Linked DNA regions of Pelodiscus sinensis. The protein of the gene in region 1 interacts with the protein of each later gene in a pairwise test. Links are inferred from orthologs where the notes say so. Each region holds a gene or a part of one and is shown on either strand. Other genes may lie near its edges.

Evidence for each region.
Region 2: the proteins of CCNK (region 1) and CDK18 interact in binary tests that used the Homo sapiens proteins (3 or more experiments, as listed by UniProt). The two-hybrid records come from large-scale screens. The link is inferred for Pelodiscus sinensis from reciprocal best matches to the Homo sapiens genes CCNK and CDK18.

What each region holds. Positions count from the first base shown.
Region 1 is NC_134714.1:24,956,885-24,963,749, reverse strand, and holds the start of CCNK (cyclin-K), read left to right. Parts: upstream 1-3,850; 5' UTR 3,851-4,090; intron 4,091-6,865. UniProt on the Homo sapiens protein: Regulatory subunit of cyclin-dependent kinases that mediates activation of target kinases.
Region 2 is NC_134737.1:6,976,421-6,983,580, forward strand, and holds the start of CDK18 (cyclin-dependent kinase 18), read right to left. Parts: upstream 3,002-7,160; 5' UTR 2,828-3,001; coding exon 2,797-2,827; intron 1-2,796. UniProt on the Homo sapiens protein: May play a role in signal transduction cascades in terminally differentiated cells.

The DNA of each region.
Region 1 (6,865 bases):
CGGCTGACGCCAGTTCCGACTTACATACAGATTCAGCTTAAGAACAAACCTACAGTCCCTATCTTGTACGTAACCCGGGGACTGCCTGTATAGTGCCTACCTGCCATTATACAAAATGCACCTTCTATCCACAGTCTATCTACCACTTCCAAAATACAATTACCCACAATATATACATCTCAATCATCCAAACACAGATATAACCTTAACTCAAACTCAACTAGAGTAAAATCACATCCTGATCGAATAGTTTAAACAACTATAAATGTATGAAAATTTTAATGTATTATATGCAAAAATGAACACTGCCTGTGTAAACTAAATCTGGCTCCTTGACATCACTTTTTTAACAACAGTGGAACAAGCCTAAATAAGCAACAGTGTAAAGCTTAATATTTAATTGGTTTAAAATCTGTTTTAAATGTACAATTCTGTGAATTCTATACCATGGATCTAGTAGGGAATATTTCATAATTCCAATTGCATATTCTTTCACCAAACAAATACTAAACAGTGCTGCCAATAAAGATGCATTCGTCTCATATATACAGACAGACAATATATGTTTTTTCCTTTTGGTTCACATAAATATAGTATTCGTGACTAGAAAGAAATTTGGAAAATTCAGATCTGCATCCAGTCTGCAGCTCAGTTCACCTTTACTTGGATATGCCAGTATTTTGATTCTACATGCTTACATTTTGGCTGAAATCCTAAAGCTATCTCTGGCTCTGCTTTGACAGGCAACAGGGTATGTTTTTCAATTGTGTTAGCTGAATCCAATTAACACAATTGAAAAGCCCTGTTAAAATGCAGGCGAGCATGTCTGAAGTTGTCATGTTACATTAACGCAACTAAGCTAACATGACTGATAAAACACACCCTTAAAGACACATCATTTGTGTATTTGTAGTTTGCTGAATGGATGACTAGTTTAAATTGGAAGCCAGATGTATGGATAATATCTGAAACATCATTCATCCAGATACCTACAGTAGCTTCTTTATATTATGTTTTTATTAAAAAAAAACCTAAAATATATTTAGTATATAGCACAATAAATTTTAAGTATTTTTCTTAAAAAAAAAAAAAAAACACAACAACAACAACAACAAAAACCACACATTAGTAAAACTGCTTCTCTGTAAAAATACACATTTCTCTACTAGGTGACCTTAATGAGGAAAAATGCTCCTTCCCTTTCCTTGTCAATAACTGAAGGCTAAGTCAAGTTATCATTCTGAAATGTGGACTAATCATCATAATCTTGGGAGCAGAAGAGGGGAAAGATGTGTTTATTTCACATGTAAAATGGTATATTTGTGAAGAGCAGAGTCTGCCATTTTACTCTGGAAGAGATAATAGTGGTATGAATTCATCTTTGTATTTCTTAAATGGTACAGGCAGTCCCCGGGTTACGTACAAGATAGGGACTGTAGGTTTGTTCTTAAGTTGAATTTGTATGTAAGTCGGAACTGGTACATATTGTAGGGGAAACTCTAGCCAAATATTTCTCCAGAGCTCAGTTTTATTCTCCCACATCTCACTTCCCTCAGTCCTTTATTCTCAAGCTGAGGTGTCTGCTGAGAAAAGCTGCTCCGCGTCTCCCTGGTCTGCTGGGTGGCGGGGGGGGGGGGGCGGGGGGGGACGCTAGCTTCGCGTCTCCCTGGTCTGCTGGGGGGAAGCAGCTAGTGCAGGGTTGCCTCACCCCGTTTGTAAGTAGGGATCCGATGTAAGTCGGATCCATGTAACCTGGGGACTGCCTGTATTTTATAGTCTAAACTAATCCTCTTTGAGCAGGAAAGGAAGTTGTAGAAACAGCTTCACCATGGCATCAATATCAGTAGCAGCTTCAGTACTGATTTAAGCAGGTTGCAACACACAGGCCCATGAAGATGTAATACCCCTGCAAATCAATCAATTCAAAAGATACTTAAATCATTCAGTGTATTTTAAGCTGCTGGGCTTAATTCTGCCACACACAAAAAAATAAAATACAAAAACCCCATAAAAAGTCAAAAAAGATGGCAGAAGAGAAAACAAAAGGAGTGCTTAAAACAATACAAACCAATGTTATATTATTGATAATTGAATCTAAGCCTCCTCCTGCTCACCTCTCTATGAAGCAAGAGACTCCCACATACCAGCAGAAACAGAGCTGGATCCAGAAAAATTGAAGTATGGGAGAATTATGGAAGGCAAAGAGGTAAGGGGAGTTGATTTAAACTCTTTTTTTTTTTAAATGTGAACTCTGATCAAAGCATTCATCAAAACATCAGGGAGAAGTCAAGTTAAGCATTTTGTTTACTTTCATTCCACCCTTGCTATCACTTTTTGGAGGGAGGAACAAGAAGAGGAAGTTGATGTAACTGCCCCCAGTTTTCATAAAAGTGAAGAAAATGTCATACCTTGAGAGCATATACACAGGGATTAAAACAAAATACTCACACATAACTGCAGGACAGGGAGTAGCAGGTAGGTGTGGGGTGTAATGTTTTTCTCTCCTGCCCTGGCAAGACAGTGAGTGGAAAATAGACAAGCAGCAAGTGGGAGAGCTGAAGTACATGTGATGAAGTACTGTCATCCCACCTTCTCTTCTCCCCTATCTCAGTCAGTGAAATGAGTGTTTTCTTTTACCAAAAGGACAGTGAGTGGGATGCACAGGAGAAGAAGCAAAATGAGAAACAGAGAAGTGTGGTGATACCCATAAGAGTAAGGGGTGGAGTGGTGGGTGAGGGACTGAGGATTGCAGCTCCCCCAGGAGAAATCTGATGTTAATAGGAAAGATGAGAAGGGAGAAGCTACAAGTGGGTGTCAGGCACAGACAAGAAGAGGAAGGCAGGGTGGGTGGGAAGAAGGACCACGACTTATGCCAGCAGGATAACAAGTGGGAGGCAGGTTTTCAGTACCAGAAGAGCAGGCTGCTAGGAATGGGATGCTCCCAGCATAGGAGACTGGATGGTGAAAGTTCAGGCGGTGAAGCTGCTCCCGCACCCTAAAGGGAGGGAAAGATAACACGCAGGGGCGCAGGAACAATTTCTGTAGTGGAGGGGCTCAGACCCACTGAGGCAAACTGCAAGCCCTGGATATAATGGAAACCACTTCAAACCAGGGGGTGCTGCAGCATCCGCAGCAGCACTAGGAGAGACGGGGGCGGCCGCTGAGGGGTGGAGCGAGGTCAGAGTTGTGCCGGAGGACACGGGGTGGCGAGGCCTGGGCGGGCGCGGAGCGGATGGGTTCACCGAGAGCTGCTGGGGGTGGCCCCTGCGGGACACAGATGATGGGAGGGGGTAGCGCCCCAAACCCGCCAGCGCGTGAGAGGACTGCCCCCCCCCAAAAGAAGAGGCCGGAACGGCCGGTGGCTCCCTACCTTCCGCACGACCGCGACGGCTCCTTCTCTTGGAAACGGCGCGCAGCCGCCCGCGTTTCTCTCACCGGACACCGTCCGCTGCCCGGGAAAGGGGGAGGTGGCGGCCGAGCTAACCCGAGCCCCACACTCCCAACGCCCGGCCCGCCCACTGATTCCACCCCGCTACCTCCATTGGCTGAGCCTTACCCACACAAAGGGCCCGCCCCCAGCTCTGCCACAGCCAAGGCATCTCATAGGCCGCCCCTTCCCCGCCGCCCCTGTCGCTCACCCACTGGGAGTGGCGGAAACAGGGACAAGGGGTGTGGCTACTCCCGATTGGCGAAAATTCACCCTACCACTTTCGATTCCTATTGGTTGAAGAGGCCTACAATCCTCTCGATTCGAGTACCTGATTGGTCTTCCTCGACACAGCCACGGTAGGGTGCGCGCAAACCTGTTCTAGTGTGCGTGTGATGGGGAAGGGTGGAAGTTAGCGCTGTGGCTAGGATCCTCATTGGTCGGCTGGAACGTGGGCGCCGTGCCCTCGCGACGCTAACGCAGCGACGGAACGCAACGCCTTGGTCCGATTCCCAAAATGGCGCCGCGCAGGGAGCGAAGGTGTTGTCGTTAGTGGCCTCGCAGTGCTGCGGGGGGTTCGCGCGCTTGATTTGTGAGTGTCTCTCGGTGGGAGTGTGACCGCGTACAGAGTGGGATGGGGCGGAGGTGACATGGGGCTCTGGGGTAGGTATGCGCGAGGAGCGGGATGCCGTGGTACGGGACTTCTGGGTGCTGAGCGAGGGTCGGGACGCTGAGGAGAAGGGGTTGCGATCGTGCCGGGGGGTGCTGTGGCCAGGCGGCTGAAGAGGGAGGTGTAAATTGAGATCCCGGTCCTGAGGCAGCGGGAGATTTGAGGCGGGGGGTGGGCGTAGCCGTGGGGCTGATTCGGAGTGGTTGAGAGCCGAGTGTCCTTGAGGGCCCTGGCGCTGGGGAGGGTCCGTGTGAGAATAGGGTGCCAAACATGGCTATCGGGCCACTCGACCTTCGCGCGTTGTTTCTCCAGTCTTCAGTCTGGGCAGTAGCCCGCCCCTTCTCCCCCATCCCCCGGAAGATTGGTGTCATAAAAACGTAAAATTTGTCCTTCGGTTCAACTCTGCTAACTGCGTTACACGTAGGAAAAGGCTAGTCGAGACCGTACGTTGGATTAAATCAGTATTTGCTGTATGTGGGGCAGGTGGTAGTGTGATCTTTCCTAAGAAAAGTTTCACTGTAAACTAGCTTGTTTGTGAAAGTGCTGTATTGGGGAGGTAAGGAATGAGCTCGTGGTGCCTGCTAGTCGTTGTTGTTTTTGTGATGTAAGAAGAGACTTTTAAAAATAAAGCTGTTAGTTTAATGTTCTTAAAGTATTCCAATTACCGACTTTTGTCTGTTTTGGTTTTGATGAGAAACCTCTTGAAACAAAGGAGGGAATTCCATACAAAAAAAATGCTGTACTCAATATTTTAAAATTCTGCAGGTTTTGTCTATAAATGTGGAGTCTCCAACACGGTAGTGGAAAACATAGCCCAGTAGCTGTACAGAGGCTGGAGATCACCCTACTGCTCCCTTTTCCCACAACACTGTGGTGAAGCTGCACCCAACCTTGACAAAACACAAAGTCCAACTCTGCCCCCAAAACACCCTGGGGTCCTGGCCCTCTGCATCAGGTGCACCAGCTATGCAAGGGCAGATGCAGAACAGTGGGATCCAAGTGTGCAGAGGCTTGATGTGGAGAGGTTCAGGTGTGGGAAAAGAGGATTTTGGGTGTAGGCAGCTTAGTTGAGGGGGGAGTCCAGGTATGCAGAAGATCTGTATGCACAGTGGGGTCCAGTTTAGGGCTGTAATAGTGTAGTCAATTAACCAATAAGCAAAAGTTTATAGGTTAATGCTATAGGCCCCTTGCATTCCCGCCACCCGGCCAGTAAATTTTTTAGCAGGCTGGCCAGCAACCTGGCTCAATCCTGGCTCACACTGGGTCTGGGACCTACCCCTCTTGCGGCTCTGCATTAAAAGTGTATCAGGAGCTGGGTGGGCAGGCATCCCGGCTCAGTTTTGGCTCATGCTGCGTCCAGGAGCTCAGTGATCCCCTGGACAGGGACTGTTGCCTCTGTATCAGAGGTAGCAGCGCAGGGTGAAAGGCAGCTGGGCCAGGAGGGGAGATGGTTTCTAAACTGGCTCACCTCATGGACCAGCTCCCACCTGGTGCTCCTGCACTGCTGCCTTGGTCCCAACTCTGGGGCTTCTATAGTCCCCGCACTGCTGCCCCGGCCCCACTTCCGGGGACTATAGACTAGTTGAGTAACTGATAAGAATTCATGAATTTAATAGACTGTTCAACTAACCGATATTTAACATCCCTAGTCCAGTTGCAGGGGCATAGGAACTTTGCAAGGGGATCCAGATGAAGATGATTGGGGCTAAGAAGCGGATTCTGGGTGTTGGAAATTTAGCAGAGGTGTCCAGATATTGGGAGAGTGTGGATTGGCACGGTGGGAGTCCAGGTGCAGCTGGTTGCAGACCTGGTCTGGGTGCAAGAGGCTTGTGGGGTGGTTCATATGCATAGGAAGTGGGGTTCATTGGACTGAGAGTTCAAGTGAAGGGGTTGCACGGGGTAGTCTGGATACAGGAATACCCACAGTCCAGATACCGGAGGCAGTGGGGCTTGGCACGGGAGTCTGACTACATAAGGTAGTACTCAGTGTGGGGGGACTCCAAATGTAGAAGCTAAGGCTTGGCAGAGGAGAGTCTGGGTATTGGAAGGGAAAGTGTCTTGATGCACAGGGTTGTCTGTATGGGGAAGAGGGGTCATGACTCTGACCCAGCACCAGCAAGTGACTGGACTGGGCTGGTTTTGAAAAGACACTGACATTTAGGAAAAAACAAACAGTCTGGAGATATGCTCACTTGATTCCCTGAGACTGAGAAGTAAGTCTTACGTTTGTAAGACCTTTATGCATGTAGGCCTGTTCTTGTTTTAACATTTTTCTCTGATTGCTGCATTCCTGCGGAGAGAGAAATAGGTTGCAATGAATACATATAGATGGCCAAACTCAGCTGGGTCTGCAGAGTAATCATAATTGGTGCCTGGAGACACTGTAAAAGAGAGGTGAATCAAGAACAATGAAGGCACAGTATCTGTAATTTGACAGAAAGTTCATGGAGGAGGGAGCTTCTGCTAACCCTCTAATTTACCTAGAAATTCACAGGAATCCATTGGAAACTGAAGCACTGATTTAATTTGCTTGTAGGAACATACCTTGCTTTCTCAGTGTGCTACCACATTCTGCACAATATCTTGTTTGTTGGTGGTTTTAAGACATGGTCCCATATGGAGTGCATTTTAGTAATCTTAACTTTGAGATGACAAAAATGTAAATGAGGCAAGATCCATATGTGAAAATGATTAGAAAGCAGCAACCACCAGATCAGTTATCTGATCTTCCTGTGGCATCTAGGAATCCAGTTGGACCCCTAGATTGC
Region 2 (7,160 bases), on another chromosome or scaffold:
CTGCTGCCTTGCAGGTACCTCCATAGGAGAGGTTTTCAGGAGATCTCATGCACTGAGTGCTGTGTTCTTTTGAAAATATCTGCATCCTTGGGTGCGGCAGGGTGCCGGGCACCCTTGAAAACCCAGCTTTTGCGTAGGTGCAGAGTTTTTTAGATAATTTTCCCCTGGCTGTGGTGGCTGAGCTGAAACAAGCTAGGAAACGCAGAAGATAGCAGACTCCTGGCCTCAAACTGGGGCCAGAAAATTGACAAGACTGGATTGCACAAAAGGAGAGAGCGTGCGCAAGAGACCACAGCAGTAAGGAGGCATCAGTGTGGATTTGCCCTACAGTGGAAAGCTCAGTTGCTTTTCACAGCAGTCTGAAAGTAATTTTCACTCCAGCTTCTGTTCCAGCAACGGCGGCAGGCCAATGGCGTGAGGGGCTAAACAACTGGGTAGCAGAGGAGCAGCTTCGACTGCAGGCAAAATGCGCCCTTAAAAGGAACCTTGATTAGAAATGAAAAAGCGTGACCAGGATGCTGTATTTGGTAAGAGTCCAAATACAGAGTCTGCAGAGCTAGCTGCCTGCAGGATTGCAATCTAGGCCTTTACCTCTACATCCACCAACAGGTGGGGTTTTGTTTTCTGTTTCTTTTCCAGACAGCAGCTGTGAGTTAGCCAGGAAGGGATAAAGACACACAATGAATCCCCCACCTGGATGCCACTTGCTGAAAAAAGCCAAGTGACCTCCAGATTTAGACACTTATTAAACATTAGAAATGCAGCTTGGATGCAAATCCAGGCCATGTCTGTTTGGGCTGACTTTTGGGGTGGGGGAAGGAGGAGGAGCTGATGCATCAATAACTCAGAGCAAAACTCATCCCGGAAGGCATTTCAGAACCTCCACATGGCTGGAGGATAGAACGGGGCCCGGAGTCAGGCATCCAGGGTTCTAGCTCTACCAGTTCCACTTTGCCTCCATATTTCCATTTCCCTATCTGTGAAATGGTAACCTTCCTGCAAGGGAGGCTGTGAAGATGCATACAGCACAGCACCAGGGGCGTTCAAATGATTATGTGAACCCAAGAGATTTTCTTAGACAACCTGGCTCATGTTGCAGGTGCGGAATGAAGCCAGGAAAGTGTGTCCGGGTTTGTAATGAATGATCCGCTGGTCTCCAGAAGGACTAAGTAGGGACTGAAGGACTCAGAAGTGGGTACAGCCCAAAAGTTTGAATGCAAACATGTCTGGGGAGTGATTGGAGTCCAGTCAGTGTCATGTGCACACAGGTGCTCTGCACGTGATACACAGAGAGTGGAAGATGGCCTGGGATTCAGGGTACTGGGGTTTGGTTCTCAGCTCTGCCACTGACTCCCCGAGTGACCCTGGGCAAGTCATCTTGTCTCTGCTCCCCCTTCTGAAAAATAGAGCTAACAATTCTTCTTTTGTCTACCTAGATAGTAAACAACTTCAGGCAAGGAGTCTCTCACACTGTGTATATGAGCCTGACATAATGGGGTCACATCTCAGAGAGAGTCTACCTATCACCACAATAAATACATCCGGCATACATTAGCCACATTTAAAAGAGCCAATTCAGAAGCCAGGGTGCACAGCTACTGCATTGTCACTCACTGTGTCTGATCACACGACGCAATTACTATGCACACCATCCAGTGAAACCTGTTGTAAGCATCCATTCCAGGGACTAACAAAAAGTGGCTAGTTAGCGAAAGTGGCCTTCCCCAAAAACACAACACTGAACACACTCCTCCGTGCTGCCAGACCACATTCAGGTCTTCACCGAGATGCTGTCAGGGAAGGGGAAATCAGCCAGAGAGACGCAAGGTCACATTTTCACTGATGGGAAAACTGAGGCACAGAGGATAAGTGAGTTGACACAGGTCCCATGGGAAATCTATTGCACACTCAGCCTGTGGTTTGTTTTTCCACTCTGCCCAAACTGTGTTGCCACCGAAAATGCCCACAGGGTTGCCGGCAGCAACCTGGGCTCCATCCACATATACCACCCCTCAACTTCAACAAAGCCCACTGCTGTTAACCCTTTGCCTGCTGCCTGTGCAGCATGCCAACCGCGCTCTCCCCTCCACACACATTCGCTGCGCTGGCACAGGGTGCAAACAAGCCATGCCAGAGCCGAGGCAGGAGGCTGACGTTTCGTCCCTTTCAGAGTGAATGCCCCCACGGTGCCAATCCCGCTGCAGCTCTTGTTCTGGCTGGGCTTCATCCGCAGAAGAGCCAGCTTGTTGCAGCGTTGCTGGTGCCAATTCTAGTCCTGGCATGGTGGGGATTTGGGTTGCAGGCATGAACCGCCGTAACTTCTCCCCACCCGTGGCTGGGCAGGAGAGCTGAAGGAAGCCACGTATGGGGGGAGTTCCCCCACGTACCTGAGAATGTGACAGAGTGACAGCGAGATGCAACAGACACTGGCAGCCACCAAAAGTGCAGCACTGTGGGGAAGGTGCCCGCCCGGGGGGGTGACCCCTGCCTGAGCACGTGAACGGATGTCCCACCATGTGCCATCTAACAGCAGCCTCACAAAGTTTCATACTGGAGGCAACAGATTTTCCATTCCTCTCCCAGGCTGCAGGCTTTCTTCAAAGATAAGACAATATCATGCCCTGCTAGCAAACGCCTTAGGGTATTGGAGAAAGAGTTGCAGGGGATGGGAGGGGGGGAGAAGAGACGCAACAAAATGCCTCCCACCAAAACACAAACAGGAATCTCTTCTATCAAGGAGACCAGAATATGCTTCATTTGGCATACGGCTGATCTGCCTCAATGCCTGGCACATACCTCTGTCCACCTGACCCCCAATTACTGTCATGCCCTCTCCCACAAAGGACCCGTGCCATGAAGAGATCCGCAGTCCCCAGCGGGGAAGCCGTGCTGGGAAGCCAGAGGGATACAAAAGGAGAACGGCTCCTTTAAAAGCAAACCCCACTCGGTCGTACCTTTGCTCTGTTTACATTGCAATGCTGGTGAAATGTAGCCAGGAAGAACCAGTACTTACACTGCCGGAGAAGGGAGACTCACTCTTTTCCTTCCTTCCTTTCTTTCCAATCAAGGCCACTTTCTGCTTCCCCCAAATCTCTCCCGTCTCCGATCTCTCCCCCGCCGTAGCTGGGCTGATCTGCCTGGTGCACTTCACTCCCAGAAAGGGCAAGGAAAGATTCCTCCCCGCAGCAACCTGAGGCTGGGGCTGCAAAGGGAGGAGGAGAGAGAGAGAGTGAGTGAAATCCTCCCATAAAGCTGGAGTATTTCATGTGTGACACTGGCTCCACCCCAAAGCTGACAACCCTGCCGGGCAACTGCCAATCCCAGGGGGTAGCGAGCCCTGCCTGGCTTCCGCTCGGATGTTCTTTCACCAGCTGTTCCAGGCTTACAAGGCTAGGGGTGCAACGCACTGCTTCAGGATGGCTCACTTGGAAAACACATCCAGTTTCTTCTCCCACCCATCCAAACACACTCAGTTTGTCTTCACTGCCAACTTAACTCGGGCTCTTACTAGGGGGATACCTGCACCCAAAACTCTCTTCCCCTGGGCTAAGGGGGGTGTCACTGGTTAGGCCTCCCGGAGGGGTTCTTCCGCCTCCGGGTCAGTGTGCAGCCACTCCACCCCACTGCAGGGGGGCTGGGTAGATCCCTGAGCACTCGCTCAGCACATGGGGCTCTCCACCCCACAAACTGCCCTGCACCTACTCCAGGAGGTGAAGGCGGCCTTGCCGCAGCCCGCTCTCGATTTCCTGCAGTGGTCCCTGTGTGAGGGCACGCCCTGCCCCTCCCTTCCTGCAAACCCTCCGTCTATTGTTCCGCAGTCCGGCCCACCCCCCGGCCTTCCCATCCCTAGACCCCCAGCTGGCTGCAAGATCTGCAACCGGTTTGCTCCCAAACCGCACCAAGAGAACATCTGTACATGCTTGTGCTCCACACACAACCTTTCCTCACCCTCGTGTTCCGCCCCGACAACAAGAGACAGGGGCGGATATAGGGCAGGGCGAGTGGGGCGAGTGAGACGGTACTGTTTAAGGGTGGAGAACCCCAATGGGCCGCGGGATTAAGGTGGAACATACGCTGGCCCATTGGGGACACCAGTTGGCGGCTCCTTCACAGAGCCGTGAGCACGGGCGTGTACTTGGCGCAGTTCACCCCCATCCTGGACACCTGCCCTTTCTGCGGCGTGAGGGAAAACCTGGCGCACGCCTACCTGGAATGCGCCAGGTTGCAGCCCCTGTTCCGGCTCCTCCAGAACTTCTTATTGAGGTTCTAGCTGCACTTTTCCCCACACCTCATCATTTATGCGCACCCTATCCATGGTCCCACAGTCACGAGACTTCCTCGTCAACCTCCTCCTGGCACTGGCGAAAACCATTGTATACTATACCAGGAGGAGGATGCGAGACGAGGGGGTGCTCTGCGACTGTGGGGCCTATTTCCGTTCCTCCCTAGTGTCACGTATCCGGGCGGAGTTCCTCTGGGCAGCGTCCAATGGCTCCATTGACAGCTTTGAGGAGCAGTGGGCGCTGTCTGGGGTTCTTTTCTCTGTGTCCCCGTCTGGTTGCCTTGTTTTAAACTTGTGACCCCCACATCTTGATCCTGTTTTGTCATCATTTGTCCCCCAACATTAGTTGAACCCTGGGGCTACGTCTAGACTGCATGCCTCTGTCGACAGAGGGATGCAAATCAAGCATGTCGAAATTGCTAATGAAGCCGGGATTTAAATATCCCACGCCTCATTAGCATAAACATGGCCACCGCTATTTTCTTCGAAATGGAGTTTTTTTAAAAAAAAACAGAAGTCTAGACGTGGATCTGTGGAAAATAAAGCCTTTTTCGACAAATCCAGTATTCTTCAAAAAACAGAGGTTTACAGAGAGGAGTAGTCTAGACACACCCTGGGTCTAGTCATCCTTCCCACAAGGATGACCCTAATCAGCCTTGCAAGCAGCATCACGATCGTTCCAAGCAGCAAAATCCAGCCATGGATTCCCCACCCCTGTGTGCCCCAAAGTTTATGGATCCGAAGCCTGATGCAGCCCGTGGCAGACACAGCAGCTGGCTTTGGTCTGCCCCAGGCCAATAGGACAGATTCAGCGGAATGATGCTGATTTACACCAGCTGAGGATCTGGCCCACTGCAGGGAGGTAACATCCCATTTAACTGGTTAAACAAAGGGGAGGGAGGGCAGGCAGGGGGTTTGCTCCAGCCTGGCTGTCCCAGCCAGAGCAGCCCCTGTCTATGGCGAGCTCCCCGTGAGGCTGGAACAGTCCCATGCCCATGGCAGATGCGAAGCTTCAGTCTCCACCGCTAGTCCACTGGTGCCAAAGTTCAGAGTTCCAGTCACTCAGAGGGCCAGGGAGTCTGCTGCAAAATTCTGTCCAAATCCTGACTCTGAGCCTTCTGACACCAGAGTCTGGGTCATGCTTGACTTTCCCTGACCTGCAGAATTCCTCCAGCATAGCCTGGGAACCCCAGCAAGCATAGCTGGCATTTTGCTGTCCCCCACCGAAGTTCTTGGCAGAGAGGCATTTCTTTGGAGGGTGGAGGGGCTTCACTCAAGTATTCCCAGCTGCCTTCGGTGGCACAAATCAGGGAAGCCTTGGGGGCTACTCTCAGCGGCTGCTGATGCAGCAGGAAATGAATTGGACCCTAATAAAGCCACTTTTGCCCACCTCACTACTCTGATCTCAGCACCAAGTTCCTTGTAGGATTAATCTGATGCCCAGCATGAAAAACGCCAACCACCAAGCAACCTGATATTGAAAATATAAGGCTGGGCCACTGGTTGTCCAGATCTTTTAGGTTTCTGCTTACCAGCCTAATCAGTTTCCATTCGGTTCTGCGTTTGCAGCATGATCATCTTTGCCAATAACTACTTGCTGTGTTATATTTAGCCAAATATATTCAGCTTCCTGAAAATAGACACCCATGAAAATAAATCAGGCTTCCTTAAGGTATCAACATCATCTGTCTGTGACTAATTAACTTCTCACATAAGTTGCTGTACCATTCCCACCCCTTCCCCAACAGTGTCTGGCTGTCACTACAATGTCAATAAGTAGTGTAATGTTGGGTGAAAACTGCAGTGGTAACTGAGGGGATTTAGGAACAATAACGTGGCTATAGGAGATAGGAGGACTGGAATAAGATGGGGATGCTAATAACACACCTGTGCGTGGCAAGACACAGTGACCTTGGAAAAAGGGCATGGAGGACCAGCCAGAAGATGATGGTCTCCATGCCCTCACTTTGCCTTTTCCCCCCATTCTCCTGTTTCATGCTGGAGAAAGTCCTGGGAGATTTTCCTGTCTGGGTGCATGTAGGTTGACCAAGGCTGTCTGTGTTTTGCTGGAGGCGACCCTAGAGAACGGATGACATCACAAGAGTGTGACGTCTGAGCCACTGAAAGAAGAGACTTTTAGTCAGGCTGTTTTTGCTCGCTCATCATAACACCATTATGACTCTACGTCCCAAACAAGACTTGGGAGGGACAGGACCTTTTTGAAAGATTCAGCATCCTTACCACTGTAACTGAGAAACCTCCCACTGCAAACCCAGTCTGCCTGGGTTTAAGGCAGCAAACTAGAACATGGGTGACATAAGGGCGAGCCCACCTCTGCCACAGACTACTTCGGTGACCTTGGGAAAGTCACTCAGTCTCTCTGTGCCTCAGTCTCCCATCTGCCAAAAGGAGATCATAATCCTTTCTTGGCCTATCTTGTCTAAGATGATAAATCCTTTGGGCAGAGACCAGCCCTGAACGTGTTCACCTGCAATGCCTTGCACGATGGAGCCTGGGGGAATGACTTCAATAGAACAGCAATTCTTGCTGCTCATGCCACACTCAATCCATGACACCAAACAGAACTTCAGTTTCTGGTGCTGTCAGCCTGGCACCTTAAAATCACGTAGAATCAGAAAGCAGACTAGAATCCAAGGCAGAACATATCCATTTAGGGACTGTAAGCCCAGCGCTGAAGGCACAAAGAGAACTCACTGGACCTGCGTGCAACAGCAAAGATTTTCACAAGCAATATCTGAGCATGGATGTAAGCTCAGTGCCCGTGTCACATCGGCTGCCTCTGGGCCCATAATATTCCTCAGAAAAATAAATCACACTAATCCCCAGGCTAAGGAAGGAATAGTTCTAATCCCAGTGG